Linked DNA regions of Tamandua tetradactyla. The protein of the gene in region 3 purifies or fractionates together with the protein of the main gene of each other region. This does not show direct contact. Links are inferred from orthologs where the notes say so. Each region holds a gene or a part of one and is shown on either strand. Other genes may lie near its edges.

Region 1 (10,441 bases), on a different chromosome or scaffold from region 3:
CTTCTTCATGTCCAAAGTTGCTGGCTGGTAGACTCTGCTCTCTCTGAATCTCTCCAGCTTTCTCCAAAATGTTTCTTGCCTTCAGCACAGCAAGTTCCAGAAACTAATCAAGACCCACCCAAGGCATGCCTCCACCTAATCCAGCTTAACAACCACTCTTGATTAAATCACATCTCCAAGGAGATGATGTATTAGTTTCAAGCATACAATGCTGAATAGGGGTTAGAAGAAACAGCTGCCTTTACAAAATGGGATTAGGATTAAAATATGGCTTTTCTAGGGTACATACATAATTTTAAACCAGTACAAGAAGCAACAAGTTTTTCTCACAGACTTAGAGTAAGAAAAGTTGCTAGGGTGCTGAGAAATGCATTGGTTTGTTTTGAATTGAAGTCTTGTGATTTATTTGAAAAAACCTAGTGAACTTAATATCCCCAATTTACCAAGAGGAACACAATTAAACCAAGGAAATAGACAAGTCTAGCTTCTTAACAGTTGCAATGTGGAATATGAAAGGGTTTCGATGAACTCTTCTTATTCTGATACATTAATATCCCTTGGTTTATCATGCACTTCAAATGGATATTTTACTGATGCATGATTTTGTTACATCATTTGTTGGCAATCTGGAAAATACTGGTTCACTGAGTTATGCAGGTCTTCCAAATATCTATATACTTTACTACACAATATCAAAAATCACATTTGTTAATATCACCATCAAATTCATCCCAAAAGTCTTTGAATATTGGGAAGCCATCAAGTTTACAGTGCCACACACAAGTTTTCCAAAAAACTTCTAATTTTTGCTAGTCAGCACAAATTTTATCACTGGAAACAAATGCTGTCAGTTATTTTCTTTGAAGTGACAGGTTCAATAAGTTCCTTTTCCAGAATGTCCACCATATTCCAAGTGTGAATAGCTCCTAGCTTGTCAGTTAGTTGTTCTTTCAAGTAAAAATGGTATAACAAGGCAGCTATTTCAGCTTGTAATTTACACATTCACACAAGTGCTTTTCCTAGAGATAACTATTGTACTTTGGTATGTAGAAGTGCTTTATGCATACTTTCCATTTCCTCACAGAGAATATTAAAAAGAAGTGTATTCTTGTTGTTACTCTCCTACTCTTCAGAGTTCAGATTTGAGAGCTGAATAAAACATGGAAACCCCTTGAGAAGTATTAACATTGAACAACGATAAAATAAAATCAGAAGTCTTCATTTAAAAAAAATACATCCAAGGGTTGAGCTACAATAAATATAATTCTTACTGTTTCATCAGGAATATTCTTTTTTTCATATATATATTTATTAAATATAATCACATAAAAACACAACCATTCTTACCATATGTTCATTCCATTCTTGATATATAATCAATAACTCACAACATCATCACATAGTTGTATATTCATCATCATGATCATTTCTTAAAACATTTGCATCAAATTAAAACATTTGCATCAATTCAGAAAAAGAAATAAAAAGAAAACAGGAAAAAAATTCATACATACCATACCCCTTACCCCTCCCTTTCATTGATCAGTAGCATTTCAATCTACTAAATTTATTTTAACATTTGTTCCCCTTATTATTTATTTATTTTTAATCCATATGCTTTACTCGTCTGTCAATAAGGTAGATAAAAGAAGCATCAGATCGTTTTCACGATCATACAATCACATTGCAAAAGCTATATCATTATGCACTCATTTTCAAGAAACATGGCTATCAGAACATACCTCTACATTCTCAGGCAGTTCCCTCCAGCCTCTCCATTATACCTTAACTAAAAAGGTGATATCTATTTAATGCATAAGAATAACCTCCAGGATAACCTCCTCGACTCTGTTTGGAATCTCTCAGCCACTGACGCTTTATTTTGTCTCATTTCGCTCTTCCCCCTTTTGGTCGAGAAGGTTTTCTCAATTCTGATGTTGAGTCCCAGCTCATTCTAAGATTTCTGTCCCATGTTGCCAGGAAGATCCACACTCCTGGGAGTAATGTCCCACATAGAGAGGAGGAGGGCAGTGAGTTTGCTTGTTATGTTGGCCGAGAGAGAGAGAGGCCACATATGAGCAACAAAAGAGGTTCTCTTGGAGGTGACTCTTAGGCCTAATTTTATGTAGGCTTAGCCTATCCTTTGTGGGGTTAAGTTTCATATGAACAAACCCCAGATTGGGGGCTCAGCCTATTGTTTTGGTTGTTCCCACTGCTTGTGAGAATATCAAGAATTCTCCACTTGGGGAGGTTGAATTTACCCCCTTTCTCACCATTCCTCCAAAGGAAGCACATCTTTAAGTGAAACCGGCATTTTCTTTTTTTTCACTCCGTGTGGCAGGAAAGAATGCAATGACTACTAGTAAAGTTTGGTGTCACTGACTTGATTCATGCTAAGGCACCAGAAGTTTTACCCATCATTGCAGTGCAAATGACAAAACAGTGAAAAAGCAAATATCTTATTTGAAAATAAGATATTTTATTTGAATTTGTATTATTATGAAAAATAGTTTTGATCCCACAGACCCTCTGAAAGAATCTCAAGGACCCTTAGTGGTCTGTAGAACTTTTAAAAATGCTTTTCAAATAAAAGGATTATATCTTCTTTACTTGCATGCTTAAAACACATTTCAAACATGTGTTTGAAACAGAACTCTTGGTCCCCCACACCTCCTCAGCATGTTCCATTTCCTAGTCGCCTCCATTTCAATTAATAAAAAAATCTACAGAGCCTGCCCATATTAAAAAAAAAAAAAATTTACATAGCAGCTCAGGCCAAAATTCTTGTGGAGTCATCTTTGATTCTTTGTCCTTATCAAGAAATTCACTTCAGCAAGTCATCAGCAGTACCTCCAAAATATATCCCAAATTCATCTATTCCATCCCATGTCTACTTTTAACACCCCCTAATCTAAGCCACCAAAATGACATCATAGCCTTCCAACAGGCTGCTCTGCTCCCATTCTAGTCATGCCATCCACCCATTCATTCTCCACTGGCAGCCAGTGACCTTTATAAAACCAAAATTAGATTTTTCTCCCCTATTTAAAATCTTTCATTGGCATCCCTCTGTAGAAATAAAATCCTTTCTAAGGTCTGCAAGGCCCCACCTGGTCTGGACACTGCCTATTTCTCTGACCTCATCCGTTACAACTCTCCCCACTGCTCACTATTCTACAGTGTTAGTGGCCTTCATTTTGTTCCTTGAACATGCTCACGCTTAAAGCCTTAATAGTTGCTGTTCCCTCTACCTGGATTGTCCCAGATTTTCACCTGTCTAGCTCTGTCTCATTATTCATATCTCAACTCAAGGGTTATCTCCTCAGAGAGCCTTGGCTTAACTATTCTATTTAGAATAGGGCTTCCATCTTTTCCACTATCACACTGTGATGTTTATTTTCTGCTCCCTATTCACCCACCCCCCACTGGAATGCAACCCCCCAGCACCTCCTATAGGACAGAAGTTAATATGTTCAATAGCTTTTCTGAATGAATGGTTGACGTTAAGCCTCCATGGCACTCAAATGTGATTAAGTAGGGAATAGGTGCAAATAGTATAATGAAAACCACTGAGGATATGGAGTCAGATGACATAGATTTGAATATTCTCCTGCAACTCACTTATCTTTGCCTTTCTGCCTGGGAGTTTTTAATCGATGAAATAGGGATAATTAACCTTTCTACGTTAAAGAAAACTAGTGATGAACAACTGAAATAACACTTAAGTAGGTATTGTTCAAATTTTAACATAACAAGGTCTTTTGCGGGGTCGGCAAAGAGTGAGAGAGAAGAAGACTATGATGCTAGGATATTTCTGAGGAATGCGTGGCTCTGACGGGAACCTGGAGAGTTTCTTCCTGATAAGGCCTTTTCCCCTAACCATATAACTCCCACCATCCCCACCCTCCATCCTACCGAGCTCTCCCTTCACTCCTGTGTAAGCTAAGTTGCCCACTGCATCTTCCTTCCCTTCCTCCCCAACTCCGTCGAATGTCATTAACTACCTACCGCACAGGCCGCACCATGGTCCGTTCCAAGGATGCAAATCTGCAGGTCTCAAGTTCTCCTAGGAAGCACTGGCGGTTTCAACTCCCGCCTAAAACCGAAGAACGAAGCTCTCCGCCCACTGACAGTCAGTCCTCCAATCATTTCCCTAGTTTTGCGAAAGCGCATGCGCCCTGAGAAAATCTCATTTGTTCAGGCCCTTCCCAAGACAACTGCACTTCCGTATCCGGTCAACCCCAGCGGAGTTTGCGCTTTGCCCTTGCACTTTCGTGATGACAGTGACTTTTGCGCCGTCTCTGAAATACGCAATAACAGTAGAAATGCACCTTCCTAATTGAAGCAAGAAGAAATAAGTGGTGCTTAGATCTATGGGTTTTCCATCCAGTACCAGGGACGAGGAGGTGGTGTGGGGGAATCTGCCGACGGAACTGCTGGATGTAACAACGAGTAGGTAAAACAGCTGATATCCCTAGTGCCGAGGCTCGTGGACCACTCGGAGTGTGCCGATCGCTGAAGACTTCGGGACTAGACAAGGTGAGACTAAAGAACGAGGCCCTTCAGTCTGAAAACCCCTAAATGGGCTCCGTTGGCTGGAGTTTCTCGGCCCCGCAGCCCGCCTTCCTTTTCGCAGACGAATTTTACCCTCGGAACCTCTACTAAATTAACTGTATAAACTAGGTGCGGCCTTCCTCCCACAACATTTTTTTTTTTTACGGGAAGCCTATCTTGTTATCATCCCTGCTAAAACTGAGGCGAGGCTTTAGATAGTAAAAAAAAAAAAAGCGGAAAGGTATCACTTTGTTGGACTGCAATAAAATTTAATGTCCAACCGATCGAAACTAGAGCTAATGGTTTTTGCTTACCGAAAGTGTTGCGTTTGAACAAAATTATACCATAACACCATATTTTTATAACTTTCAATTTTCTACCACAGTATTCCTTTACTGCTTCTGCCTTGGTCATGTGCACACAGCTATTGGCCTATAGGCTCCCCCACCCCACCCCAATAGCTAATTATATTATTACTAGTTTCTATATTGATCATTTCATGTTTACCAGGTACTTCATATTATTTTATCAATCCTTATGACAGTCCTGCAAGTTAAATGCATTATCCCCGAATGACAGTTGCTCTGGCAGCAAGTAAATGGCAGAGTCAGAGTTCGGGCCATTTTACTGATAAATGAAAGATTCGTTCTCTTATCACTGCATTGACTGCCTTCAACAAATATTTGCCTAAAGTCAACTCTGTATGCAGTGGTTCAACTTTTGTTAAGACACAACTCTTGTTCTTAGGATTCTCACTGCCTAGTGAGGACATGGTACAGATGAAGCTGGGGATGTAACTGCGGATCAAATCATGGACACCCTTGTATGCCATGCTGGGAAGTTTGGGGAGGAGGCAGTGGTAAACACTCAGGAGTTTTAATGAAGGCAGTCTAAATTCTGGAGAGTTGGGAATGGTTGGTTTGCTGGGGGTAAGGAAACCTGTTAGGCTGTTTAATATAAAGTGAGTGTGAATGTCTCTTTAAAAAAAAAGTTTTTTAATCGTGAAATATAGCATACCTACAAAGAAAAGAAAGCAATAATTTTCAAAGAACTCCCTAATACCTTCAGTGACAGAACACCTTCTGTAACATGCAGCTGTGGAAGAGATTTCAGAGCCTATTATGGGCCACCATTCCGCCATTTCAGTTCCTCTCCCTGCTGCCCTTCCACCCCAACAGCTGCAAAACACTGGAAACTAGAAGGAATATTAATATACTGATTCAGCAATCATGCTTGTTTGTTAAATCCTGTTTCCTGTGTTATACCCCCTTCTCCTTTGATCCTTCTCCCATCTATAGGGATCTTTAGGCAATGCCCATTCTGACTTTTTCATGTTAAGGGGTTCAACACTAAAGGATAAGGGGATGTGTTCTAATTTGCTAGCTGCTGGAATGCAACATACCAGAATCAGAATGACTTTTTAAAAGGGGAATTTAGTAGTCGCTAGTTTACAGTTCTAAGTCCTAGAAAATGTCCAATTAAAACAAGTCAATAGAAATGTCCAGTCAAAGGCATCCAGGGAAAGATACCTTGGTTCAAGAAGGCCGATGAAGTTCAGGGTTTCTTTCTCAAGTGAGAAGGCACATGGTGAACACAGTCAGGGTTCCTCTCTCATCTGGAAGGGCACATGGTGAGCATGGCGTCATCTGCTAGCTTCTCTTGGCTTCTTGTTTCATGAAGCTCCCCAGGAGGCATTTTCCTTCTTCGTCTTCAAAGGTCGCTGGCTGGTGGACTCTGCTTCTTGTGGCTATGTCGTTCTGCTCTCTCTGAATCTCCCATTCTCCAAAATGTTTCCTCTTTTACAGGACTCCAGTAAACCAATCAAGACCTACCCAAATGGTCTTGACATGTCGTCACCTAATCCAGTTAAACAACCACTCTTGACTAAATCTCATCATCCAGGGAGATGATCTGATTACAGTTTCAAACATACAGTATTGCATAGGGATTATTCTGCTTTTATGAAATGGGATTTTGATTAAAACATGGTTTTTTAGGGGGCATACTTCCTTTCAAACCAGCACAGAATGTAATTAATTGATACTCTTGGAGAGGTTGGTCCCTCTGGGTTTCAGGACTTACTGGCCTAGCAACCCTCTTGAAATTATAGGTTCCAAGAAAACAAACAGTGCATGGAACTTTTATAGAGTTGGAGTTCGAGCCTAGGTGTTCTTAAGAGTTAACAGGAGTGACTTTGATTGGGGTTTAGCAAACCATGGCAACTAGCACCATCTAACTGAAGCTTGCATAAGAGTAGCCTCCAGAATAGCCTCTTGACTCTTTTTGATCTCTCTTAGCCACTGATACCTTATTTTATTACATTTCTTTTCCTCCGTTTGGTCAGGAAGGCAGTTGTCTATTCATGGTGCCAGGGCCAATCTCATTCCTTGGAGTCGTACCCCACATTGTCAGGGAGATTTTCACACCCCTGAATATCACCTCCCACATATTGGGAAGGGTGATGATCCTCCTTACAGAGTTGGGCCTAGAAAAAGAGAGAGAGAGGCCACATCTGAGCAACCAAAGAGGTTTCCTGGAAGCAACTCTTAGGCCTCATTATAAATATTCTTAGCTTCTCTGCTACAGAAATGAATTTCACAAGGACAATCCTCAAAATCAAGGGCTTGGCCTGTTTTCTTGGGAGTCCCCAGTGTTTGAGAGGGTACCTGGAGTTTCCCAGCTGGGAAAGTTTTTAATAGTTCCATGTTTTGGTTTTTTTTCCTTCACACTCTCAACCAATACTTTTTAATTATCAGCCAACCATAGTCCTGAGATGTATCCTGATATTACATTAAGCTATACAGAATTATAGGCCTTGTTTCCGTCCAGGACTCCAGGAATTTGGCTTGTTTAAATGAGCGGTACAAACAGGTTGATTTCGATTGTGTGCTACACAAAATTTAGATTCTAGACATAATAAACCTCTCTGCCTTTGGTCTTATACAGTAAGTGAAAGTCTAGAGTACAAAAACTATCATCTTTTACTCTGTATTCTGATTTACCTTAGCCCCAGCCAGATTGGCTTTGTTTTTATCTCTAATTGAGACCTGATCTCTTTTTTGGTTACTTTAATTGTTATAGTACATAGCTGTGCTAACTTTCAGGGCTCAGCACTCACATTTTTGTGTCTTACGTATCACAGTTACTTAGAGTTCCAGGGAAATACTGTCTGATACACATATAGCTCAGTGTCTCAGAATCTAGGAATATACTTACAACTTCAAACTAAGTGTGGCTGCTATAAGGGCTTACAAACTAGGCTCCATTTTTCTTATAAGTATTTTCTGAAAGAGACCTTAGCATATTTGTTCTTTTGTTTCTGGCTTATTTTGTACCACATTATCTCCAAGGTTTATTCAGTTCGTTGCATGCCTGTTGGTGTCCTTTTTTGTAGCCACACCATATTCTTTCCTATACATGTATCACAGTTTGCCATTCTTCTCAGTCATTGTATCCTTTAGTTCCCTTCCATAATGGGCGTCATAGATAATGCCCAAAATAAACAAACTATGTCTTATGGTATCCTCCCTGGGTTGTACAATCAACAGCATTCTCAATTTTGGACAAGTTTCATTTATCTTCAGCGACAAAGAACTGACACACAGCGTCACCAAATATCGAAATCAAAACTACCCCTTATCAATTGTACCTCCCCTGCAATTAGTTGTCCCTGGTAGTGCTGTGGTACTGTTGATGTCTTCTTGTTAACTATTGACCATATCATGCATTTTTAGTTTTCCCTCTGTACCTCTTTACTATTAACTCTTTGTTCAATGTCAAATCTTTGAAATAGTTCATGCGAGAACTTACTTATAATTGTAGATTTACTCAGTGGGATATATGGGCACTATACATTCCCTTTTAATCATATTCACCTTCAATATAGCAAAGTTACTTATAATGCCACAAATTAGTTACTGTCACTTCTATCTGTTTTTCAGTACCCATGTTCTGTCCCAGTTCAGTGGATTTGGGAACCTTATCGAAGATCAGTTGTCCATATTTTGGTGGTCTGTCCCTGTACTCTCAATTCAGTTCCATTGGTCAATACTATCTTTGTGCTAGCATCATGCTGTTTTGACCACTGTGGTTTTATAGTAATCTTTAAAGCCTACTACTTCGCTCTTCTTTTTTAAGGATATCTTTAGCTATTCAGGGTCTCTTTACCTTACAATTAATTTGAGAACTAGCTTTTCCAAATCTTCAAAATAGGTTATTGGGATTTTGATTGATTTTGCATTGAATCTGTAGCTCATTTTGTGTAGAATTGACATCTTAACAACAGTCAACCTTCCTATCCATGAGAATGCAATGCCTTTCTATCTATTTAGGTCATTTTTAATTTCTTTTAGCAATGTTTTGTAGTTCTCTATGTACAAGTCTTGACATCCCTGGTTGGACGTATTCCTTTATACCTGATTCTTTAGATAGCTATTTTCAATGGAATTTTTTCCTTAATTGTTTCCTCAGATAGGTCATTACTTGTGTTTGGAATTTTACTGATTTTTATACATTAATCTTATATTCCACCACTTTTCTGAATTTGTTTATTAGCTCAGATAGCTTTCTCATAAATTTCTCAGGGTTCTCTAAGTATAGGATCATGTCATCTGCAAATAAAAATTTTTGCTTCTTCCTTTCCTCTTTGAATGCATTTTATTTCTTTCTCCTGTCTAATTGCTTTAGCTAGGATTTCTAGTACAGTGTTGAATAATAGTGGTAACAATGGGTATCCTTGTCTCATTTCCAATCTTAAATGTTTTCAGTCTCTCACCGTTAAGTATGATGCTGGCTATGGGCTTTTCATATAGGCCCTTTATGATATTGAGTAAGTTTCCTTCGATTCCTAACTTTTGAAGTGTTTTTTCAGGCCAGGATGCTGAATGTTGTTGAATGCTTTTTTCAGCATCAATCGATAATGATCATGTGCTTTTTCCCTTTCACTTTGTTAAGGTGATATATTACGTTGATTGACTTTCTTGTATTGAACAGCCTTTGTGTTCCTGGTGTAAACCCTACTTAGTTATGATGTATAATTCTTTTAATGTGTCATCGGATTTGATTTGCTAGTATTTTGTTGAGAATTTTGGAAGCTGTGTTCATTAGGAAGGCTGGTCTGTAGTTTTCTTTTCTTGTAGCATCTTTATCTGGTTTTGGTATTGGAGTGTTGTTAGCTTTATTTAACATTCTTTTTTCCTCATTTTTTTTTAAGAATTTGAGCAGAATTAGTGTTAGTTATTTTGGAATGTTTGATAAAATTCCCCTGTGAAGCCATCCTAGTCCTGGGCTTTTCTTTTTGGGAAGATTTTTGGTAACTGGCTGAATCTCTTTACTTATAATTGGTTTGTTGAGAACTGCTATTTCTTCTCAAGTCAGTGTAGGTAGGTCATGTGTTTTTAGGAATTTGTCCATTTCATTTAAGTTGTCTAGTTTGTTGGCAAATAGTTGTTCATAGTATTCTCTTCTGATTTTTTTATTCTTCAGGATCCATAGTAATAAAGTAATAACGCCTATCTCATTTCTGATTTTGTTTATTTGTATCCTCTCTCTCTCTCTCTCTCTCTCTCTTTTTGTCATTCTAGCTAGTGGCCTACCAATTTTATTGATTTCACAAAGAACCAATTTTTGGTTTTGTTGATTCTTTCTATTGTTTTTTGTTGTTGAGCTGTTAAATCCTCGATTTTTGCTCTTTCTTTTTAAATATAGGCATTCAGGGCAATAAATTTCCCTTTCAGCACTGCCTTTGCTGCATCCCATGAGTTCTGATATGTTGTAATCTCACAATCATTCATCTCCAAATATTTACTGATTTCTCTAGCAATTTCTTCTTTAACCCACTGATTGTTTAAAAGTAGATTGTTTAAACAAAAAGAAAAATTTGCATGAG
Region 2 (10,361 bases), on a different chromosome or scaffold from region 3:
GTCCAGTTCTTTATCTGAGTTCCCTGACCCGTCAGCTCCAGCTGACGGGTCCTCTCATCCTTCAGTCTTTCTAGTCTCCTAGGTCAACCAACAAATCCCTCCCCAGACACCCCCATGACCTCCAAATCACCCCCTCAGCCTGCCCTGGGCTTTGCCCTCCTGTCTTTCCTCAGCCAGTCAATCCTGCTCACCTTTCAAATCCTGCACTCTGCAAGAAGCTCAGGCCTCAGCTAGGAGGCCACAGGCCACCCCCATCCCTCCTCACAGGTTGCCCACCACCATACGCCTAGCCCATCAGAGCACCCCAGGCCCAATCCCACTTTCCCAGGTAAAAACTTTATTTGAGCTGTCCTCAGCAGAAGCCTCCCTCTCCGTAAAGGTAACAACTGGGGCATCTTTGGGGCTTAAAACCCTGGACTCACTACACTAAGTAAAGGGAGGACAAAATCCCCAGCAAGGTCAAAAGTCAGACACACCAAGCCACACACCAACCCCCTCCCCACCAGGCTCTCACACCAGAGAACATCAGTCACTGGGGAGCAGGGAAGCACTGCTCCAAATCATGTGCTATTTTTTCACCAAAAAATCAGGGTAATGTCAAATATAGACAGAGGCCCAGGGCCTAGTACATAAAGAGCAAACTCCATCTCTGAGGGGAACAGGCTGCTTGGAGAAATGGAGAGGGGGGCATTCTGCCTCCCTCAGTGATTCCCACTCCCTTCTTCAGCACCCAGGAAACCCTGACCCTGTGTTTCTCACCCCTCCAGGGTCTCTTCACCTCCAGATCAGAGAAAGGGAGAGGGGAGGAGAAAGGACACCGAAGGCCCCAGCCCAGGGGAAGGAGCTGTACTGGGAAAGGGGTGGCCACCCACTTATAACCATTCAGGCCTCCAGCTGGGACAGGGAGTGAGGAGGGACAGAGGTTGGGCTCCTCTGCAGTAGGTGAAAGGAAACTTGGGTAGCCTGGGTGGTGTCGGGGCGTAGTTATGGAAACGGCAAGCAAACTGATTAGGGGGTGAGTGCTGGGCACAGTGGGCAAGCTGTGCAGGGTCCAGGCTGAGAAAAGTCCACGGCCCTAGATACCCCAGGAAGTAGACCTGGGACCCTGCACAGCTGAGCCTGGGGTGGCAGAAAGCACTATTAAGGCAAAATATGCCATCCAGAGTGGAGGGTAGAGGGGGATGGAGGTGACCTGGGGTTCTGAATTCTCCCCTTCCCCTTAGCACTGTTCTGGGGCTCTCAAAGCTCAGGTGCAGCTCACAAACCAGTTACCGATAGAGGGAGTGGGGATGGGGAAGGGACAAACAGGGGCTCAGAAAGGGGCAGTTCCGACCCCTCTTTCACGGCACCCTGGGAATGTGGCATGAACATGCAGGGCCTGCCTGGGCTAAAGCCATGGGAATCTGTCCTATTTAGCAGCCATGACCAAAGGTGCCTGCTGCCAGGCACCCTGGAGGATTTCCCAGCTGCTCCCCACCCCCCACCTCCCATGCCCTGGAGAAGATCTAGCCCACTTAAGGGTCACTCAAAGTGCCCCCTCCCTGTGGGAAAAGGAGCCTTTGGAAGCAGGCCAGCACTGACCCCAGGGACAGAGCCCCAGGGCTAGTCCCTACCCCACCTCCTAAGTCACATGGCCCAAGCTCACAGCCCTCACAGACCTGCTTCCCTCTTTCACTTCTGCAAAGTTGGAGTGGGGGCTCCAGGCAGGATGGAGGAAGGGCTGCAGTTCCCTGCACCTTCGTTTTGGGAAGTTCCTGGCTCCCCCTCCCTCTGTTCAGCCTTCCTCACCCTATCCTGAGTCAAGGGGAGGGAACGTAGGGAGGGCACCCACCCCAGAATAGGTTAGGACAAATGTGAGGGAGGGCTCCCTCGAGGACAAGGGCGCGCGCGCAGGCGCACACACACTTTTCTACCGCTCAAACCTTGGGCACTGGCAGTGCCAGCCTTTGGAGGAAAGCTTGGCTGGGGGAGGGAGGGAATGCAGGTGTCCCCCAGACCCGATAGGGCAGGACGGGTGCGACCGGAGGGCTGGGAGGGCCTGCAGGGGAGGAACCTGAGGGCAGGTCCGGGCAGGCCACCCCAGCCCCAGGTCTGAAAACCGTCCCTCCCTGACAGACAGTTGGTACGCCCCCCTCAGGGTGGTAACTTCTGAGAAGGGGGCTGGGTGGCAGGGGCTGACTCAGCCTGCCAAGGCCAGCTGGCGGGGCGGGGGCGACGACGCGCACGTGGCAGGGGCGGCGCGGGGGCGGGGAGTGGGGGCTCACTCACTTGGATGGGGGCCGTGCTGAAATGGATCTTGCGGCTCGGGGCCGGGTCTTCTTCCTCCGAGAGTCCCGGGATCTCCACGCACCCCGACTCGGGTTCATAGGGAGGCTCCCCATCCTCCTCGTCCTCTTCGTCGTCCTCCTCCAGGGCACTGCCCCCAGAGTCCTCCCCGAGCCCACTGTAGGCGCTCACGTCCACCAAGTCCGCCTCCGAGAAGTCCTCCTTCTTGGACTCATCCACCTCCTCGGAGGCCACGTCCAAGGCCCGGTCACTGCCCACCCCCTTCTCTGGCGCCGCCAACACCGCCGCCTCCTCCTCCTCGGAGGCCGCTTGGGCCTTCTGCTCCTCAGGCGCAGGGCTGGCTGTGGTTGCCACGGTGCTGCCATTCTCCAGGGCCGCGTGGACCGTCACTTCAGCCTGGATCACTTCCCCGGGCGCCGCCTCGGCCTCCGACTCCCCACTCTCCTCCACCTCCACAGGCTTAATCTTGCGCACCTCCCGGGGCTTGGGGGGCGGCCGGGTAGGGGCCACTCGGTGCTGCTGAGGCTGTTGCCCTCCCGGGCCGCGCTCCTTCTCGGCCTGGGCATCCCCCGACGGGGCGGGCGGGGGCGGCGGGGGCTGGAACACCCGGGACCGCTTACTGACCAGCTTCGAGTTGACTTGGGGGGGGCCGGCGGTCGAGCCCCTGGGGGGCCCGGGCCCACGGTGGAGGCCGGTCCTCAAGTCGGCCTTCTCGAAGACGGCGCTCAGCTGGCTGACCGTCGGCGACACGGCCTCGGCGTCCAGCTTGTCCAACGCCTCGGTGCTGCCGTTGAAGCGCACTACGACGTCCAGCTTCCGGTCCTGCAGGCCGGCGCGCTCCTGCCTCAGCAGCCGCCGCGCTGCGGCCTCCTTGTCGCCGCCGGTGGCCGCCGGGACGCTCCGTTCGAACAGCTTCCGCGTCTCCTGCAGCCGGGACGGCGGGTGCGGCGGCGGCGCCGGCTGCGCAGAGGGCGCGGGCTTGGAGTCGAAGCGGCTCACGCGCTCCGACACGCTGGTGCCCAGCTTGAGCAGGGCGCTGTGGTCCACGTTCTCGTTCAGGCTGCTGGCCCGCGGCAGCGACAGGCGCACGCCGCGCTCGGGCGCCCGCGGGGCCTCAGCTGGGCCGGCGCCGCCGCCCGCCTCGCCCGGCGGCCCCGCCGTGGTGCCCATCTGCAGGAACATACTTTTGATGCGGTGGACGTTGGAGCCATATTTCTTGTGGTGGGCCGCCTTGGGAGCCTCGTCGGGCCCGGGCGCGTCCGGAGGCTTCAGTGCCTGGATGCCCGCCTCGTAGGCGCTGCGGTGCGGGGAGGCGCTCCGGAGGGGACCCCCGGGCCCCCGCGGCTCTGTCTTCATCATGGTGGGGGGAGCCGGGTTCGCATGCCCCCGCTCCCCGCTCCCCCCCTCCAACAGGCTGCCGGCCAAGTCGGGACCACCGTCCCCCTCCTCCCCAAAAAGAAACCCCGAGAGGTCTTTTTTACGTTCCCCCTGAAACCAAGCTGCCAAAAACAGTTAGCCGTGCTTTAAAAAAAAGGAAAAAATATCTCCGCGCGCCCTGTGTGGGTCGCCTCCCCCAATCAAGCTGCCGAGACAGTCAGACCCTCTTAAAAAGCCCAAGCGGCCTGGTACGCTCGCCCCCACCCAAAATAGACAAGCAGCGGCCGGGGCCGGGGGAACCGCGCGCCCTGCCCGCGAAGCAGCCGAGGCGGTGCCGGCTCACATCGTCCGAGGCGGTGTCAGCGGGGCTGGCAGCCCCGGCGCCCCCCACCCCGGCCGGGGATCTCCGCTCCCGGGGGACCGGGCACCCCGGCGCCCATGGCTTGCTCCGCCGGCCCGGGCCGCTCCTCCGCCGCGCCTCCCTCCCTCCCTCCCTCCCCCCCGCGCCCCGAGCCTCGGTCTTTCTCTCGTTCTGCCCGAGCGGCGGCTGCCGGAGACCGAGCGGTTACCCTTCTCACCGCCGCCGCTGGGGGACTGGCACCTCTGGGTCCTAAAGGGATAGGATTTCCGGGACCAGAGTCTGTGAGCCCTCCCCTTCCCCTCGGGCCGAAAGAATCCCCTCCCCTGCCCGTCCTTCGCCTTCCGCTGCCCCCAGGCTCTGGCCGATTCTCATCCACACTTCCGTCCCAGCCTCTAGCTGAGGCTGTTTCAACCCACACACCCCCTACTTAATCTTGGGGCGAGGGGGGTTAAGCTAGCCACAGGGGTGAGGCGCCCTCCACCCCAAAGTGAAATAGGGGACAAGTAGGGAAGAATCATTTCCTTCAAGGTCCTTAGAACTCCCTAGAGTGGTTCAAAGTCATAAGTATCAAAATCACTGGATGTTTGAGGGGGAGCATATTTCTGGGCCCTCCCCCAAACTCTGTCTCTCAAATCTCAGAGGGTGGGCCCGGGAATCTGCATTTTCACAATTTTCACAAGGGACTCTTCTGTTCAGATGTGAAATCTTGGCCCAGAGTTGCTGGCCTGGGGATGGAGGTGGATAGGGAAACTGAGACATGAGTTGGCCTCCGTTACCTGAAGGGCACCTTTGCCCTTTGGAAATCCAAAGAGGTGTGCCTGTCACCTGCCTGTTCTGCAGCCCAGGCTGGACTAGAAGGGGCAGAATTCCTGTCTTCATGCTCTTAAGTGGGGCACACTTGCCCCTCAAATAGGAATGGGGGGGCGGTTGGAGGAGCAATTCTAGAGGCCCCGATTTCCCCACCGAGAATTCTACCTGGGGTCTCTGATCTAGCTAGGGGAGGTGTGTCTCCTGGCCAGTGTGTGTATGTCTGTGACCCACATAGCCCATGACCTGTCAACTCAGAAAGCTATTCTGATGTCCCCCCGTTCCTCACCCACACAACCGGGGGCCCGGAGTCTCCCTCTACCCTCCCCATCTGCCCTGGTCCTAGGGGTGACAGTCCACCTGCAAGACTATGTTTGATGCGAACAGGGTCCCTTTGCTCCACAGATACCAGATTAGAATGAACAGAGTGGACCCTAGGACCCAGAGAACAACCGAGGCACAAAGCCTTCCCCCCTCCCAGCTGCTTCCTGCATCTCAGGCCTTCCTGAGGCCTCTGCCTCCTCCCCCGCCCTCTTCCCCTCCATCCTCTTCCTCCTCTTCCCGACTCCCACAGGCCTGGAATGGCTGGCGAAGGGAATCCTCCCACCTCAGCACTGCAGGGGCGTGTGTGTGGTTTTTTTTAAAGTATTAACCTGTTAGCATGAGCAAAGGAGCGCTGTACTGGGTAGGGATGGGGCGGGGTAACTGCCTGGGAACCAAGCATAGTGGGATGAGGGGGGCCAGGAACCACGGGACTAGATCCTGAGGCTGGGCTAAGGGGGAGGGATGATTTGGGTTCTGAGCCAGAGGGCCGGAAATGAACCCAGACCTCTGGCTTTCCGATACCATCTGTCTCTTTTTTGCCTGGTTGCCTGGGAAACTGCCCCTCCCCAGTTTTGCACTTTGGAATAGGATAGCGTAAAGACAGGACACCATCCCCAGGTTGCCCTCCCTCCCTTTCAGGAACAAGCTCTGTGACTCTGGTTTCCAAACTCAAGGATGGGACTGGAAGCCACCCCCCTTCCCAAGGGTCCCCCAACCCCCCCATGGGTGGGCAGAGAAATCTCACCCAGTTGGAGGTTGAAGGGTTGGGCAGAGTGTCCCCAGAAGCTCTTGTGTGGGTTGGAGGAGGGCACAAGCCCCTGGGTGCTTTGCCCAGAATCTCCCACACCCTTTGTGATGAGTCATCTTAACTGGTCCTAGCCCAAGGGGTCTGTGCCCACGCCTTTGGCCAGGTGGGAAAGCCCTTAGCCTGTGAGGGTGGGAGGAAGAGCTGAGATCCAGCTGTCAGGCCCAAAGACCTGGGGTCCCCCCAACATCTTTTGTAGCAGCTTGGCATGAACTAGAACAATTGGGATGCCCTGGTCTCCGTTGTCCTGAGGCTTCCAAGGGTAAAACCCCTTTTAAGTGCTTTGGGATGCAAGAGAGAGGAGCTGGCCCAGAGCTTGAGTGACTGAGGCTAATGAGTGGGATTATCATTTCATGGGCTCCTGGTCAACTCAATGACACCCCCAGCCAGAATTCCTAAAGAAGCTTTTACAGAGCAGTAAGTGCTTTACTGCAACTACTTCCCAGGAGCCAGGCACCAAGCTGGCTGGTGATGGGTGGGGAAAGGGTGTCTTCTCCTCCAGGCCCTCCCTTCCTGACTGGGGAGGGGGGGGGGGCAAGGGGTGGTGGCTGCATTTGGGAGGATTATGATAAAAACCGAAGGGTTTTAACTTAATTTTAATTTCCTTGAGCTATAATGCTCACCTCCTTCCTCAGGATAATTTAACCACCTTTCCTCTTTCCAGTATCCTTTTGGAGGAGGCCTAATTGCCTGTGGTCATTTTTGGATGGAAGTTCCTTTCCTACCTTTGCCTTGGGACCTGTGCTAGAGTAGTTCCCAAAATGGACCCAGGAGCCACATGCACTAGCTGTGTGACCCCTCCAAGAGGAACAAACCGAGGCCCGGAGAGATGGAAGTGATGGGAACAACAAAAGATAGGGTGGGAGGGGAAGGAGGCATCTTTGCCAGTCTTGGTCAAAAGGCCTAAGGTCTCCGTAGGCAGAGATAATTCCTTCAACCCTTCTCCTAGTAAAGTCCCTCCCCATTTTCCCACACCCCTAGGTCCAGTTAGGGCCCTCTGGGAAGATGCCCTTTTAGGGTTGTTCCTCGAAGCCTGCAAGTTTTAAACACCAGGTGTGACTGCAAAAGCTGGGAGAGACCTGATCTGTGATAAGTCTCAAGCCCTCAGCACCTTGGGCTCATGCCCGGGCTTGGTGCCCAGGTTGGCTTCTCTTCCCAACTCTAGGCCCAAGAGACTTAGCCTCCAAAAGTGGCATTCCTACTGCCTCAGTCAACTGAGCCGAGTCCTAGGCCCTGCCCTATAGCCTGGGCAGTGGAGCCAGTGGTCTCCCCCTAAGCTCTGCTCTCCATGGGTCCTCTGTCAAGAGTGGGAGATACAACGATGCCGGAAAGGCATGCACATATGTACACGCTTACATGCGGAAGAACTCAGATGTCAGTGTGGGAGGGGCCTTTAGTGGCCCTTGAATGTCCCCTTCACAGTTGCATGCTTGAAGCAGAACAGAACATGAGCTCTGAAGCCAGACCGTGTTTGTCAGAATGCCTACCTGCTGCTTCCCAGCTAAAGGACTTACACTAATTTCTTTTTCTGTAAAATGGAAATAATTATCAACCTCAGAGAAATGAGGATTAAGTGAGTTCAAAATGCATAAAGCACTTAGACCAGGTCCAAGCAGACAGTAGGAGCTTAGAGTATCAGCTGTTACTGCACCCATATCTGAACATGAATAAGTGTTGTGTGTGCATGCGTGCACATGACTGGGCAAGTGTGGCAGAGAATGAACATCAGTGTTTGCACTTTTAAGTGTGTCTTCACAGCATTCTGGGCCTCTTGCTTCCTTCCAAGGTCCATTATAAGAGATCCTGAAATAGAAGGATCCGCTACCTGTGACTTCACCAGATCTTTTGGGATCACCCCTGGAAAGATGGATCTCTACCTCCCAAAGGGTTTTTCGTTCCTACCTCTTGGTGTCTCAAGTTCTTCTTTATCCCTGCAGAGGCAATTATGTAAAAAATTGATCTAACATACCCCCCCCCCCCCCCCCCCCCCCCCGGCTCCCTAGCTGGAAGCTTGCCCTGCTGCCTTTCTAAAGTCACTCCAGTGCTTCTTGAAAAGCTGGGATACATCTTGGAGGGTTGGGAGTAAGAAGGAAGAGTTGGAGTGTGAGTGTGTCATACATATGTGTGTTGTGTGCCTTTGGGCTGTGCATGTGTGTGTTGGGGGTGGGGAAAGGGGTGGGACAGAGATGATTTCTCCAAATCATCAGTTGCTTTAAAAGAAAGCCTATATTTAGCAGGGCTTAGAGGGCCTGTAAAAATGTACTTTGCAACACAGACAGCAGTACCTGTGGGAGCTCCAGAGATATGCAGGGAGGTCAAAGAAAAGAACATATCCAGAAAGACTGAGCAATATATCTTGTGATCAGAAGATTCAAAGAACTCTTTCTACTGCTGACCTGAACTGCTCTGAATACTCATATCTGTGATTTGATGGTTTCCATGTTTGCTCCGCCCTTTGGATCTTGTGCACTGGGCACCTGAGGAGGGCACTAACTTTGAAAGCCACCTTCTTCCACCAGCTTCTGCTTCACCTGCCCTGGGCCCCAGGAAAGAGCATCCTGTTCCTGCCAGTGCCCAGCCTGCCCGGTTCCACTACACTCCTCTAGGCTGGCGAGGCACCTGGCACAGGCACAGCTTCAGCAACGGCAGCTCTCAGGTTTCCTCCTCTCAGCCCCTTGCACTTGAGGGTGGCCTTGGTGGGGGGTGGGACTGAGGTTAATCCTACCCCTTCAGGAAAGTTCTATTTTAGAGAACCTGAAAAAATATATATATATGTATATACTTTTTAACTTTTTTATTAAAATATTTTTGAAAAAATAAGTTCGGAGACTCATATAACAAACTCTATTTACAAATGCCGGCATTTTGTCTTTTTGCTTCAGGTTTTTTCATATAGAAGAAATAGAACATTAGCATTTGAGCTGATGTCCCCTTTCTCTTTCTCCCCAGTCCCGTTGCCCTCCCTCCTCACTCTCACCAATTTGGAATGCATCCTTTCTAATCCATAATTGTGTATTTTTCCTACACATTTAAGTACTTGTAAAGCAGCATATCGACGGTTTCTGTATTTAAAAAATTTACATGATGACCATTATATCATGAGTATCATTTTGTCTGTTTCTCACTCCATGTGCTTTTCACAATGGAGTCGCATGAGTAATCTACATGGCTTTGGTCTGTTCATTTTAGCTTCTGTTTAGTATTTTACCATATGAACAAGTCGCAATTTATTTACCAGTCAGTCTCTCTACTGACAGACACCTCGGCTTTATCTCACTCTCTCTCTCTTTTCTTCCCACTGCTGTAAGAAGGGCTGCAATAAACATCCTAGAAGCAGAAAGCTGGGGCTGTAGAGCAGGCAAGTTTTCAGCTTGACTAGTACTGCCAAACTGTGCTCCTCAGCGGCTGAACGAGTTTATGTTCTCAGCACCAGCATTTGTACAAGACGTCCTGTTTGACCACATCCTTGCCAATACTTGCCCTTGTCAGACTTTTTATTTTTGCCAGTCGGGTGGGTATGAAATAGCTATCTCATCTAAATCTGCATCCCTGCCTATGAAGTCAAGCATCCTATCAGGCTTGTTGGCCATCTGGGTTTCCTCCGTCACGAATCGCTTTTGTCCATATCCTTTGCTATCCTATTGCAGCTTTTGGTGCAAGTTACAGAAAGCCTAACTAGAAGTGGCTTAAGCCAAAGGGAAATTTTATCTCATATAACAGGACATGTCAGTGTAGGCTAAATTCAAAAGGTGAGCTGTGACATCAAGGGCCAGGTTCTAATCTCTCTGCAATAGCTTCCTCTTCATGCTGGTTTTCTCATACACTTGTCCCCTCATGGTCCCAAGATGGCTGCCTCAGTTCCAGGCATATCATGTAGACAACAGTGTCTGGAGACAGAAGAGAGGGGTTGTTTTCAATGGGTTTGCTTTAACAATGGGAATTTATTGTCTCAAGGTTTTGGAGACTGGAAGGATTGCTTCTTTCCAGGGTCAGGAGCATTTTGGAGGGCTGGCAATCCTTGGCATTCATGGCTTCCTCATCACATGGCATGGCTCTCTCCTTTCTCTTCTGGGTTCTGCTGGCTTCTGGTTCCTCCTTGTGTCTCTCTCTTTACAAGGCCTCCAGTCCTAGGATTAAGACTCATTCTGATTCTGTCGGCCACACCTTAACTAAAAATAACATCTTCAAAAGGTCTTGTTTATAATGGTTCACACCCACAGGAATAGGGTTAAGACTAAGAACATTTTTTTTCTTATCATGCTATATTTAGACTAATCACAGTTCACTTAATGGGGCTGAGGAAGGCCCAGTGCTCCCTAAAACACAGACCCTGAATAAAATTGGGGTTCTATTAGAGAGGGAAAAGGGGCAGAATGCCACTTGGGGCAGCACTCAAAAGCT
Region 3 (10,533 bases):
ATTTTGATTCAATTTTGTTTTAAAATACGAGTTGTAGTTCTTCTGTTTATAACCCCTTCCTGCCCTTTAGACTAATCTGGCTAGCTCCTATCTCTTTGGGTCCTGGTTTCCACTCATGGTACCAGGGACTCTCCAGCTTTGGGCTGTCTTCACAGATATGCTACCCAAGGAAGGGGCTGGGGACCTAACCCTGACCCTGGAGGGATGGGCATTAAAACAGTTGTAGCAAGAAATATTTCACAAATGCTAAAATCACCCTGCTTAGAAACAATCATCTATAGATTTAAAGTTAACAAAAATCTTTTTTTCTAATGTAAAAATACCTGATTTTTTTTGGGGGGGGGGGAGGAAACAAATTGAATTAACCCAGGAAACATCTTCACATTAATCATTCTTTTCATAAACTTCAAATTTGTACTTAATGCCTTTTTCCTCCTGGACATCAGAAAGAATACCTGGGTATTCTGGAAGAAGTTTATATTTCTCTACATCAATTTCTGGAAAAAATGTGTCACTTTCAAATTCCTGCATGATCCTTGTCACAAACAGTCTAAGATGGCCTGGCTGATTCATGGCTTCTTGATAAACAGAACTGCCTCCCACTATCCAAACCATGTCTACTTTATTTGCTAATTCTGGTTGCTCAATAAGTTTTAAGGCATCATCCAAACTTTTGGAAAGAAAATGTGCTCCTTGAGGGGGTTCCTTGAGTTCTCTACTGAGAACTAAGTTAATTCTGTCCTTTAAAGGCCGATTCTTCTCAGGGATGGAGAACCAGGTCTTTCTACCCATAATCACCAAATTCTGTTTACCTTCTACTGAGGAGGTTGTGGTCATTCTCTGGAAATACTTGAACTCATTCCTGAGTGGAGGCCAGGGCAGGTCTCCATTCTTGCCGATGCCCATGTTCTGGGACACAGCGACGATGCAGTTCAGCGGACGAACCATGACGACAGCCGCAGCAGATACCGCCGAGCGCGCTCGCCTGACTCTAAATTCCCCTTTTTAAAAGCCATTCTTTTTCTGGTATTTTGCATTTCAGCAGCTAGCAAACTAGAACAGTGCATAAATATTTATGATTGTTAAGCTTTTTTTTTTTACATGGGCAGGCACTGGGAATTGAACTGGGGTCCTCTGGCATGGCAGTCAAGCATTCTTGCCGCTGAGCCACTGTGGCCTGCCCTTGTTAAGTTTTTTGTTGAATTGTTCCTTTTATTAATATATAGTGTCCTTCTTTGTCTCTTTTGTTTCACATTTGAAGTCTAATTCGTTGGATATTAGTATAGCTGCTCTTGGTCTTTTCTGATTGTTGTTTTCATGAAATATCTTTTCCCAACCTTTCACTTTCAACCTATGTTTATCCTTGGGTCTAAGACGTATCTCCTGTAGACAGCATATAGATGGGTCCCATTTTCTAATCCATTCTGCCAGTCTTTGTCTTTTGATTGGGGGAGTTTAATTCATTAACATTTAGTGTTATTACTTTATGGGCAGTACTTTCTTCTAACATTTTGCCTTTTGGATTTTATATATCATATCTAATTTCTCTTCTTTTCACCTTTAATGATAGTCTTCATTTCTATGCTCTTCACACCTCTTTCTCCTGTCTTCCTATCTGTCTCTAGTGCTCTTTTAAATATTTCTTGCAGAGCTAGTCTCTTGGTCACAAATTCTCTCAGCGAATTTTTTTGTCTGAAAATGTTTTAAGTTCTCCCTCATTTTTGAAGGACAGTTTTGCTGGATATAGAACTCTTGGTAGGCAGTTTTTCTCTTTTAGTATCTTAAATATATCATACCACTGTCTTCTCACCTCCATGGCTTCTGCTGAGAAATCTGCACATAGTCTTATTGGGCTTCCCTTGTATGTGATGGCTCTTTTCTCTTGCTGCTTTCAAGATTCTCTTTCTCTTTGACGTCTGACATTCTGATTACTAAGTGTCTTGGAGTATGTCTATTTGGATCTATTCTGTTTGTGGTATGCTGTAATTCTTGGATCTGTGATTTTAAGTCTTTCACAAGAGTTGGAAATTTTTTAGTGATAATTTTCTCCATTAGTTTTTCTCCTCCTTTTCCCTCCTCTTCTCCTTCTGGGACACCCACAACATGTATACTCATGCGCTTCATGTTGTCATTCAATTCCCTGAGTCTCTGCTCATATTTTTCCATTTTTTCCCCTATATTTTCTTTTGCTTATCAGATTTCAGATGTCACACCCCCCACTTCACTACTCTTATCTTCTGCCTCTTGAAATCTAACATTGTAGGTTTCCATTGTTTTTTTTTCATCTCTTCTACTGTGCCTTTCACTCCCATAAGTTCTGTGATTTGTTTTTTTAGACTTACCATTTCTTCTCTTTGTTCATTCCTTGCCTTCTTTATATTCTCCCTCAATTCATTGATTTCATTTTTGGTGAGGTTTTCTATGTCTGTTTGAACATTCTGAATCAATTTCTTCAACTCCTGCATCTTATTTGAATTGTTGGTTTGTTCTTTTGACTGGGCCATATCTTCAATTTTCTTAGTATAATCTTTTATTTTTTGCTGGTGTCTAGGCATTTAATTTCCTTAATTAGTTTATTCTGGAGATTGTTTTCACTTTTTTTTACCTAGGATTTTCCTGCTGGATGACTTTGTTGTCTATCTGTTCTTTGACATTCAGTTCAGATTATTCTAGACCTCTAGCTTAGGTTTTGTTTAACAGATCAGAGTTTTTCAGTTCTTGTTTTCTTGTTTCTTGTTCTGCTGTATGATGCCTTTTTTTTTCTCCTTAGGAAGGTCTACTTAGGTATTATAGATCCAGTCAGATTTCCTCAGACCAAACTGGCCTCCTTTCATGAGTCACCTGTGTCAGTTTTCCCTGAGGGTGAGACCCAGCAGGTTGAAAGACTTTCTATGAAGCCTCTGGACTCTGTGTTTTTCCAATCCTGCCTGGTATGTGGTTCTTGTCTGCCTGCGGGTCCCACCAGCATAAGGTGACATGGTACCTTTAACTTCAGCAGATTCTCCCTGCTGGGGCATGGTTGAGACAGAGGAGAAGTTGTAGGCTTGCTTTAATCACTTCAATTTTCCAGACCCTGGGGTCTGAATTCCTTGAGGGAGGGATTCCACCTGAGCTACGCCCCACCTCTCTCCTGGAGAAGGCACAGCCTACAGACAAACTCTTAAACAAGCTTAGTTCTGCCCATGCCTTTAGCAGTTGGAGCCTGAGAAGCCCTGCAGCTGTATCCAAAGAGCAGTCAAGCCATAGAAACACAGCCACAAAAAAAGAAAAGAAAAAGAAATCCTTTTCAGAGCAGGACCCCCATTCCTTGGATTTGCCAATCAAGAGCCTAAGTTGGTACATTGCTCTATGTATCTCCAGGTCCTATGTGCCCCCTCCTTTTCTTCAGGGCCCAAACCCTTTCAAGTATTTTGTGCTATCTGATCAAAAAAACTTTTTTTTTCCATTATCACAGACCCCCTCTGTGCCAAGGCAAAAATCAGCAACCTCAGGTTTTACTTGCAGTTCAGCTGAGCTGGGGGCCTATTTTTAGTAGTCAAAATGTGTCTCTTCTGAATCCTCCCTAAAAGCCTTCCAGTGATTAGATTAAACATCACACATTGCAGAAGGCACTCCCCTAACTGATTACAAATGCAATCAGCTGTGGATGTAGTCTACCTAATCATGATTTAAGTCTGTGAAACATTCCCATAGCAACAGACAGGCCAGAACTTGCCCAAACAGACAATCGGGCACCACCACCTGGCCAAGTTGACACATGAACCTGACCATGACAAGGGGGTAATTATCTGTTCAAAAGGAATATTATTTTATAAAACAAAGAAAATCTTGGTTGTACAAATGATAGAGGAAGTCATGAACTCCACAGGATACTATGTTATTCACTAATTTGCCATAGATTTCTAACACTGAGCACATCCTTTGTGTTCTATGCTGGTTTGAAGCTATGTACCCTAAAAAGCCAAGTTCTTTATCCTAGACCAATCTTATGGAAGCAGACCTATTGTTTAGGGTGGAAACTCTTAATTAGGCTGTTTCCATGGATATGTGACACACCCAATTGTGGGTGCAACCTTCTGATAAGATGGAAATGTGGGTCCACCCATTCAAAGTGGGTCTTGATTAGTATACTGGAGTCCTTTTGAAGAACAAACATTTTAGAGGAGCTTAGATGCAGACATTTAGAGATGCTTGGAGTGTGACAGAGAGAATGGACACATAGACATGGATGTTTGAAGATGCACAGTCCAGCAGATATCACCATGAGCCTTCCCAAAAGATGCTAAGTGAGAACCCACCATTTTGCCCTGGAGAAGCTAAGTGAAGATCCACAGATGCTTAGAGAGGAAGCCATTGGAATCAGAAGCTAGAAGCAAAGGAACTGGGAACAAGGATGAACAAGGACTCTCTTTGGCATCAAGGTATCCTTATCTGGACACCTCAGTCTGGACATTTTTAAGGCCTTAGACCTGTAAATTTGTAAATTCATAAATCCCCTTTATAAAACTAGATTTCACAAATTCAATATTTGTCAGGGTTATCACTGAGCAGGCAACATCAAAATTACAATCCATTTCTGCCATGTACCAGCATATTGTGTAGAACAAAATGCCTTGCACATCTTGGCTGCTCAACACATTTTTCTAAAAACTGCAGATCATGTTCCTCCCCTGCTTAAATCCCTCCAATAGCTTTCCATCAGTCTGAAAGACCCTACTGGTTGTGGCCTCTGCACACTCCTCCCTTTTTGCTCTCTATGCTCCGAGGCTGAACCCTAAGTTCCTGTATCTTCAGTATCTAATGTTATGCCTAGCATTTAATAAGTGCTTTAAAAAAATAATTTTAAAAACTTTGTTGAATATAAATAAATGAATGAATGAGTCTGTAATAAAATGCAGTCCAGATAATTCACCTATAAGTTATCACTGTCAGTTCTGCTTAAGAAGCATTCTGCCGTCAGTTTCTACTCCTTAATTCATATTTCCTTACTGATTAAAAAATTTTTTAAAAGCCATTTGTCAAGACGAGAGCTTTCCTAAGTATTATTTATATATTAACACTATTCAGTAGAAATATGTGAGCTGCATGTTATTTTAAATATTGTAGTAGTCACATTGGAAAAGTAAAAAGATTAATTTTAGTAATATATTTGAACTTAACATATTAAAAAACCCTTTTAACATGATGTCAACATTTTTTTACACTCTTTGTTCAGTTTATTTTTTATAATTACAGCACATCTCAATTTGAACTAGTCATATTTCAAGGACTCAATGGCCACGTGTAGCTAGTGGATACCATATGGGACTGCGTAGTTCTATAGGATTCACTTTCACAGCAAAGTGCCTGACCACTCTCTGCTCCTATAATTAGTGTCAGGAAGACCTCCTCAAGCAAAATTCTCATCCAGAAGGGTCTAAATGTCCCAGCTTGAGATGATTTAGACTAGATACCAGAGTGAGCCCTAACTCCTTCAGTTTGGAATTACGAAAGTTGTCTCTGGGAACAATATTAGCGGGTGTGTCCTCTTCGCCTTCCCGTATCAGTTTTTTATTTCCTTTACTTAAATAGATATTTTGCTTCTCTTGAAGATGAAGACCGCCTCCTTTGCAACGGCTTCTATATCTCCTCCCTCAAGGTCAGTTTTTTAGATACTTCACGACAAGCCGGTCGGTCCACTTGACTGCCTAGGAAAGTTTGCAGGGGGAGCGTCCAACCGCGCAAATCTAGTCTTATTCTTTCAGAGCTCTCCTAGACCTGCCGGGGTCTCTGGAGTAAGCAGCATCAGAGAGTGGCAAAAGCCAAGGTTTGGGGCCACAGAGAGCCTGATTCGAATTGCTCCCTCGGCTCAGAAAGGTGATTCTCCTTCCACCAACCGTATATTCGTACAACGAATTCGTTCTTAAACGCATCTAATACACTACAGGGCTACCAACTTCAGAAAAGAACCGCACCCACAGAAGACCCCACCTCCCTGCCCTCAGCCCTCCACCTGCCTTTGGAGAAAGGAAAGGGGCGGAACATCCGCCTGAACCGGTCAACTTTCGGAAGTGACGTAGGAGTGTCAACATGCAAGATGGCGGCCCATCACCGGCAGAACACGGCAGGGCGGAGGAAAGTGCAGGTATGGGAGCTCAGCTCCTCGACCTCCCAGACGTGGTTGGCAGTCCCGGGGTCACCTCCTGCGAGCATATACCATGGGCCACGGCTGATAAGTGTAGCGGTTTCGGGCGAGTGGAACGGGGCGCGGCCGGAGGCGAGGGGTGGGGCTGCGGCGCTAACGGCTTGAGGAAGGGGCGGGGGTCGACCAGCTTGGACCGTCTAGTCCAGTCCTGGAACCCTCGGGTTATGGGGTTCAATCCCTGCAATTACCGGTCGTCCGCTGTCCGGTAGGCCTGGGTCTGCGGAGTCGAGATGGGCTTGCTCCCCGCCCACCTGTCTCCCCTCCCCCTGCCTTTCCCCGAAGCACTTTGCCCTATCCAACTCGGATCAGAGGCCTCTGGACATTTCCTGGCCGGCAGGCGGCGGAGGAGTGAGAGGGCCTGAGCGGGGGCGTGGCGGAGCGCGGGTGGCCCTGCGGGCTTTCTGAGGAGTCCACACGTGGGAACCTCTATTCCCCCTCCCCCCACCACCCTCCGGCCTCCTCTCAAGTGGGAGCTTTCCACCGGTTGAAGAGGAAATGGCATGGAAATGTGCTGGAGTTACTGGGAAAATTACAATTTTACTTGTTTTGGAATTTAGTTATTTCTTCATTTTCACTGTGTATCCTGGAATCTTTTTTTTCTTTCTATTTCTGTAGTTCATTATCCAAGCATTAAGAGTTGTCTAACCTTTCTGTGCTTTATGCTCTCATGACTTTAGTTTTGTGTACATTTAAAAGTTGTGCTCTATTATTTTAAGCGACACAGAGATTAAAAGCCCTATTACAGGTATTTACCTGCAAGTATATTTTATGTAGTAGTGACGGCATAGTTCATTATTTCACTGAACGTTTATTGACCTTACACTTTGGGCCCCAACATGTGCAGAGGTTCTAGAGGGGACAGGAATAAGTAAAACACCCAGGCTTGCTTGATAAAAACACATTCTGCAGGTTGCAATCAGTGAGTGTTTAATTGATAGTCAAGATACGGGTTCTTTCAGTAAAATAAGTTCAGGAAAAGGTTGGAGGCCATAAAGTCTCTGGGGCAGTTCACATCTTTGTTTCATTTTGTTTTGCTTTTGTCTCACTGATCAGTACAGTGTCCTGAGCACTCATTAGATGTTTGTTGAGTTGAGTGGAACTAATAAGAATCTAAAGTAGTTTAACCTATTAGGTGATTTTTAAATGCATTAGTGATAATATTTAAGTAACATCAGAATCCAAACCAGGTGCTGAGGGTGTCTCCTCTTGAGTGGAATGTAACTCAAATTGTAACTTAACTAATTCTAACTGGACTGCCTGAAATAATTATATGTAACTGGCTCCCAGTGGGTCACAATAATTAAGTATTTAGGCAGCACTAATGGATACCTTTGAGGACTTTAGGAGCTGATGGTATTATTCTAGAGACTGAAATGGGGATAATCAGCTCTTGAAAGATAGTTGTAGGGCGAGCAATCGTGGCTCTGTGGCAGAATTCTCGCCTGCCATGCTGGAGACCCGGGTTCCATTCCAGGTACCTGCCCATGCAAAAAAATAGAAAGACAATTGTTAAAGTACACAAAGTACACAAGGAAGGTGTGAATTAGTTGAGTATGTGTGGAGAAACAGTTCGTTGTAATAAGCTGAATGTGAGCCAGCATATGTAGAATGAGGAAGGTGATAGCTCTACTCTTTACTGGTCAGAGTACAACACTAGAATTTCTGGCTCAAAATTTAACACCTTTTTTCTCAATATAGCAACCAGGTTGATGAAATGACTTGAGACTATTTTCTGTGAAAAATTAAGGTTAGTTTTCACTAGAGAATATTTAGGGAGCTTTGTTATCTGCATTCAGAACTTGTCGCCAATATAGGGAGAAAAGCCACAGAGATTGATTTTCTCTTGACATGAGACATAAATTTTGTTTGTTTATGGAAGTGTTTTATAAACTAGTATGTGTTCATTGGGAAAAAAATACAAATAATACAAAAAAGTGTAAATGAAAATTGTCCTCCACACTTCAAAGAAAGCTACTGTGAGCAATGTGGTAAATAATCCTAGACCAGCATTTCTCAACCTGCATGCTGTTGACATCTTGGGCTGATCATTCTTTGTTGTGGGTGGCTCTCCTGTGTGTTGTAGGATGTTAATCATCATCCTTGACCTTGACCTACCAGATGCTAGTAGCAGTTCTCAGTTGTGACAACGCAAAATTTCTCTAAACATTTAAGGGGTAAGTGGGGGTGTACAAATTGCCCCTAGTTGAGAACCACTGAATATATGTACCTGATTTCTGTTCTTTGTTTTATTATAAGTGGAGCCATAGTATACATTGTTCTGTGACTTGCTATTTATCAATATTTTAAATGTACAGTCCATCTCCCATCAGTTCCTTTTCTAAAACTTTGCTCTACAAAAATACGTATATACCCATACGTCATCATCTTTTTGGGAAGGGGGGTTTATTGTAGGAATGTTGTCATTGTGAAAAACTGAACAAATCTAAATGTCCATCAGTAGGGAATTGGCAGACAAGTTATTGTATGTCCATATGGTGGATTAATTCGCAGTGTTAACAAGATAAGCTAGATTTGTGTGCAAGGAAAAGGAAAGATATCCAGAAGTCTAAAAAGCACATCAATTTAGCATGGCTCCATTTCTCCAAAGGAAATAATGTATTTTAAAAGCCTGGAAGAATATTAATGGTGATTATCTCTGGCAGTATTGGATTATGTGATTATGGGTAGGGCAGAATATAAGATACTTTTTAACTTTAAAATATATGCACCTTTATATTTTTGAACTTTTTACAGCATATTATATGCTTTTTATAAATAAACAATCTTTCCTGCTTGAAAAAAGTCTGAGTACTTAGAAGTATAAATGTATTTTGTCTCTTGGCTGTCAGTGTCTTGGACCTGGAAGCAGTAGCCCTAAGTTCCTTTGCCAACTTGTAAGCCGAAAAGAATCATTGAAACTTATAATAATTGCTAAATAATTAGACTACCAGGGAGAGGCATGCAAACATACTGCTTGTTCGCTACAAACATAATGACATATATATAAAGTATTAGTAATTGTCCTACCATCTAAATCTAAAGGGACTGAAAGTGAATATAAGGGTGAGGATAGATTAGTGACTGTCAGAAATATGATCAGTCAATTAAATATGCAAATTCAGCTATATGGTGCAGCGTCTTTCCTGGTAACATGAAAGCAAGCCTTTTTACTCTCTGGCAGTCCTTTATGGTTCTCTTAGTTTTATGATGAGTGTGTTGGTTGTTCTCTTTGTTCCATTACTCATTCTCCCATGGCCTTTTCTCTCACCTGGTTCAGAATTGTTGGAGAGAAGTTGAATAACAGTAACCAGTATACACAGGTTTAGAAACAACAACTATGCTCTAATACTTAGTGATGGTTCAAGAATATAACTCCTTGACCTTCTGTAAGGGTTATTTTAGTGGGAAATGATCCAAAATCTAACTCAATCAGGCCCACGTAATAAAGACATATATTACTTCATGTAAAGGAAAATTCAATAAGTAATGCTAGTTTCGTGCAAAGCTTGATCCGGCAGGCTCACTGCAATTCTCTACTCTAAGAAGTGACGTTAAGTCAGCTTTACCATTGGGGTGCATACAAGTTTTCTCTCCCAACTCCAGGCCTCTCTTCTATTGATGGCATGGTGGCTGTACCTATTCCAGACCTCATGTCCTCCCACCACAGCACCCAGGGTAATAGAGTCCCTTAAGTAGCACCTGCACAATTTCTCCTAGGATTTGTTCACCAAAAGATAATATCGGGAACAGAAGTGGGGAATGGAGAGGCAACTAACAAATGTCTACTACTACCAAACTCCTCTTCCTGCCAAATACCAAGTCATGCCAGACCTATTCAGAGCACATTATAGTCCTTACTTCCGATTCTGATTCCCAACTTGGGGATAGTTTTTAATCTTCAAGGCTTTTTAAAGTAATTAAAATAATGCCAAATCCTGCCTTCTCAATGAGAGAGCCTTACAAATTAGCCTTATGTCGAAGATGAGTTACTTTTTATATAGGATGGCTAATAAAAAATTCAGTGTTAATGCTACTTTTTCTCTAGAGGGGTTCAGCAAACTTTTTCTCCAGCGGTCCAGGGGCTAAATGTTTTAGCATACTTTTTCTCTAGAAGTCCAGATGGTAAATGTTTTAGCAAATTTTTTCTCTAGAGGTCCAGATGGCCTGTATTTTAAAAGGCTTTGTGGGCCATCTTGTCTCTGTTCTAACCACTCACCTCTGTCATGATAGCATGAAAAACAGCCATAGACAATACATAATGTATAATAAGTGAGCGGGTGTATGTATTTCTAAAACTGTTTACGAAAACAGACTTTGGGCTAGATTTGGCTGACGGGCCATTTTTTACC

The links.
Region 1: the proteins of WDR48 (region 3) and RAD51AP1 purify together in Homo sapiens (affinity purification with mass spectrometry; 5 studies listed by BioGRID and IntAct, counting the BioPlex papers as one, with this or other methods). This does not show direct contact. The link is inferred for Tamandua tetradactyla from reciprocal best matches to the Homo sapiens genes WDR48 and RAD51AP1.
Region 2: the proteins of WDR48 (region 3) and PPP1R9B purify together in Homo sapiens (affinity purification with mass spectrometry; 3 studies listed by BioGRID and IntAct, with this or other methods). This does not show direct contact. The link is inferred for Tamandua tetradactyla from reciprocal best matches to the Homo sapiens genes WDR48 and PPP1R9B.

What each region holds. Positions count from the first base shown.
Region 1 is NC_135333.1:66,777,828-66,788,268, reverse strand, and holds the start of RAD51AP1 (RAD51-associated protein 1), read right to left. Parts: upstream 4,176-10,441; 5' UTR 4,026-4,175; coding exon 4,009-4,025; intron 1-4,008. UniProt on the Homo sapiens protein: Structure-specific DNA-binding protein involved in DNA repair by promoting RAD51-mediated homologous recombination.
Region 2 is NC_135332.1:31,294,735-31,305,095, forward strand, and holds the start of PPP1R9B (neurabin-2), read right to left. Parts: upstream 4,291-10,361; 5' UTR 3,646-4,290; coding exon 2,269-3,645; intron 1-2,268. UniProt on the Homo sapiens protein: Seems to act as a scaffold protein in multiple signaling pathways. Modulates excitatory synaptic transmission and dendritic spine morphology. Binds to actin filaments (F-actin) and shows cross-linking activity. Binds along the sides of the F-actin.
Region 3 is NC_135341.1:48,173,484-48,184,016, reverse strand, and holds the start of WDR48 (WD repeat-containing protein 48), read left to right. Parts: upstream 1-5,998; 5' UTR 5,999-6,076; coding exon 6,077-6,124; intron 6,125-10,533. UniProt on the Homo sapiens protein: Regulator of deubiquitinating complexes, which acts as a strong activator of USP1, USP12 and USP46. Enhances the USP1-mediated deubiquitination of FANCD2; USP1 being almost inactive by itself.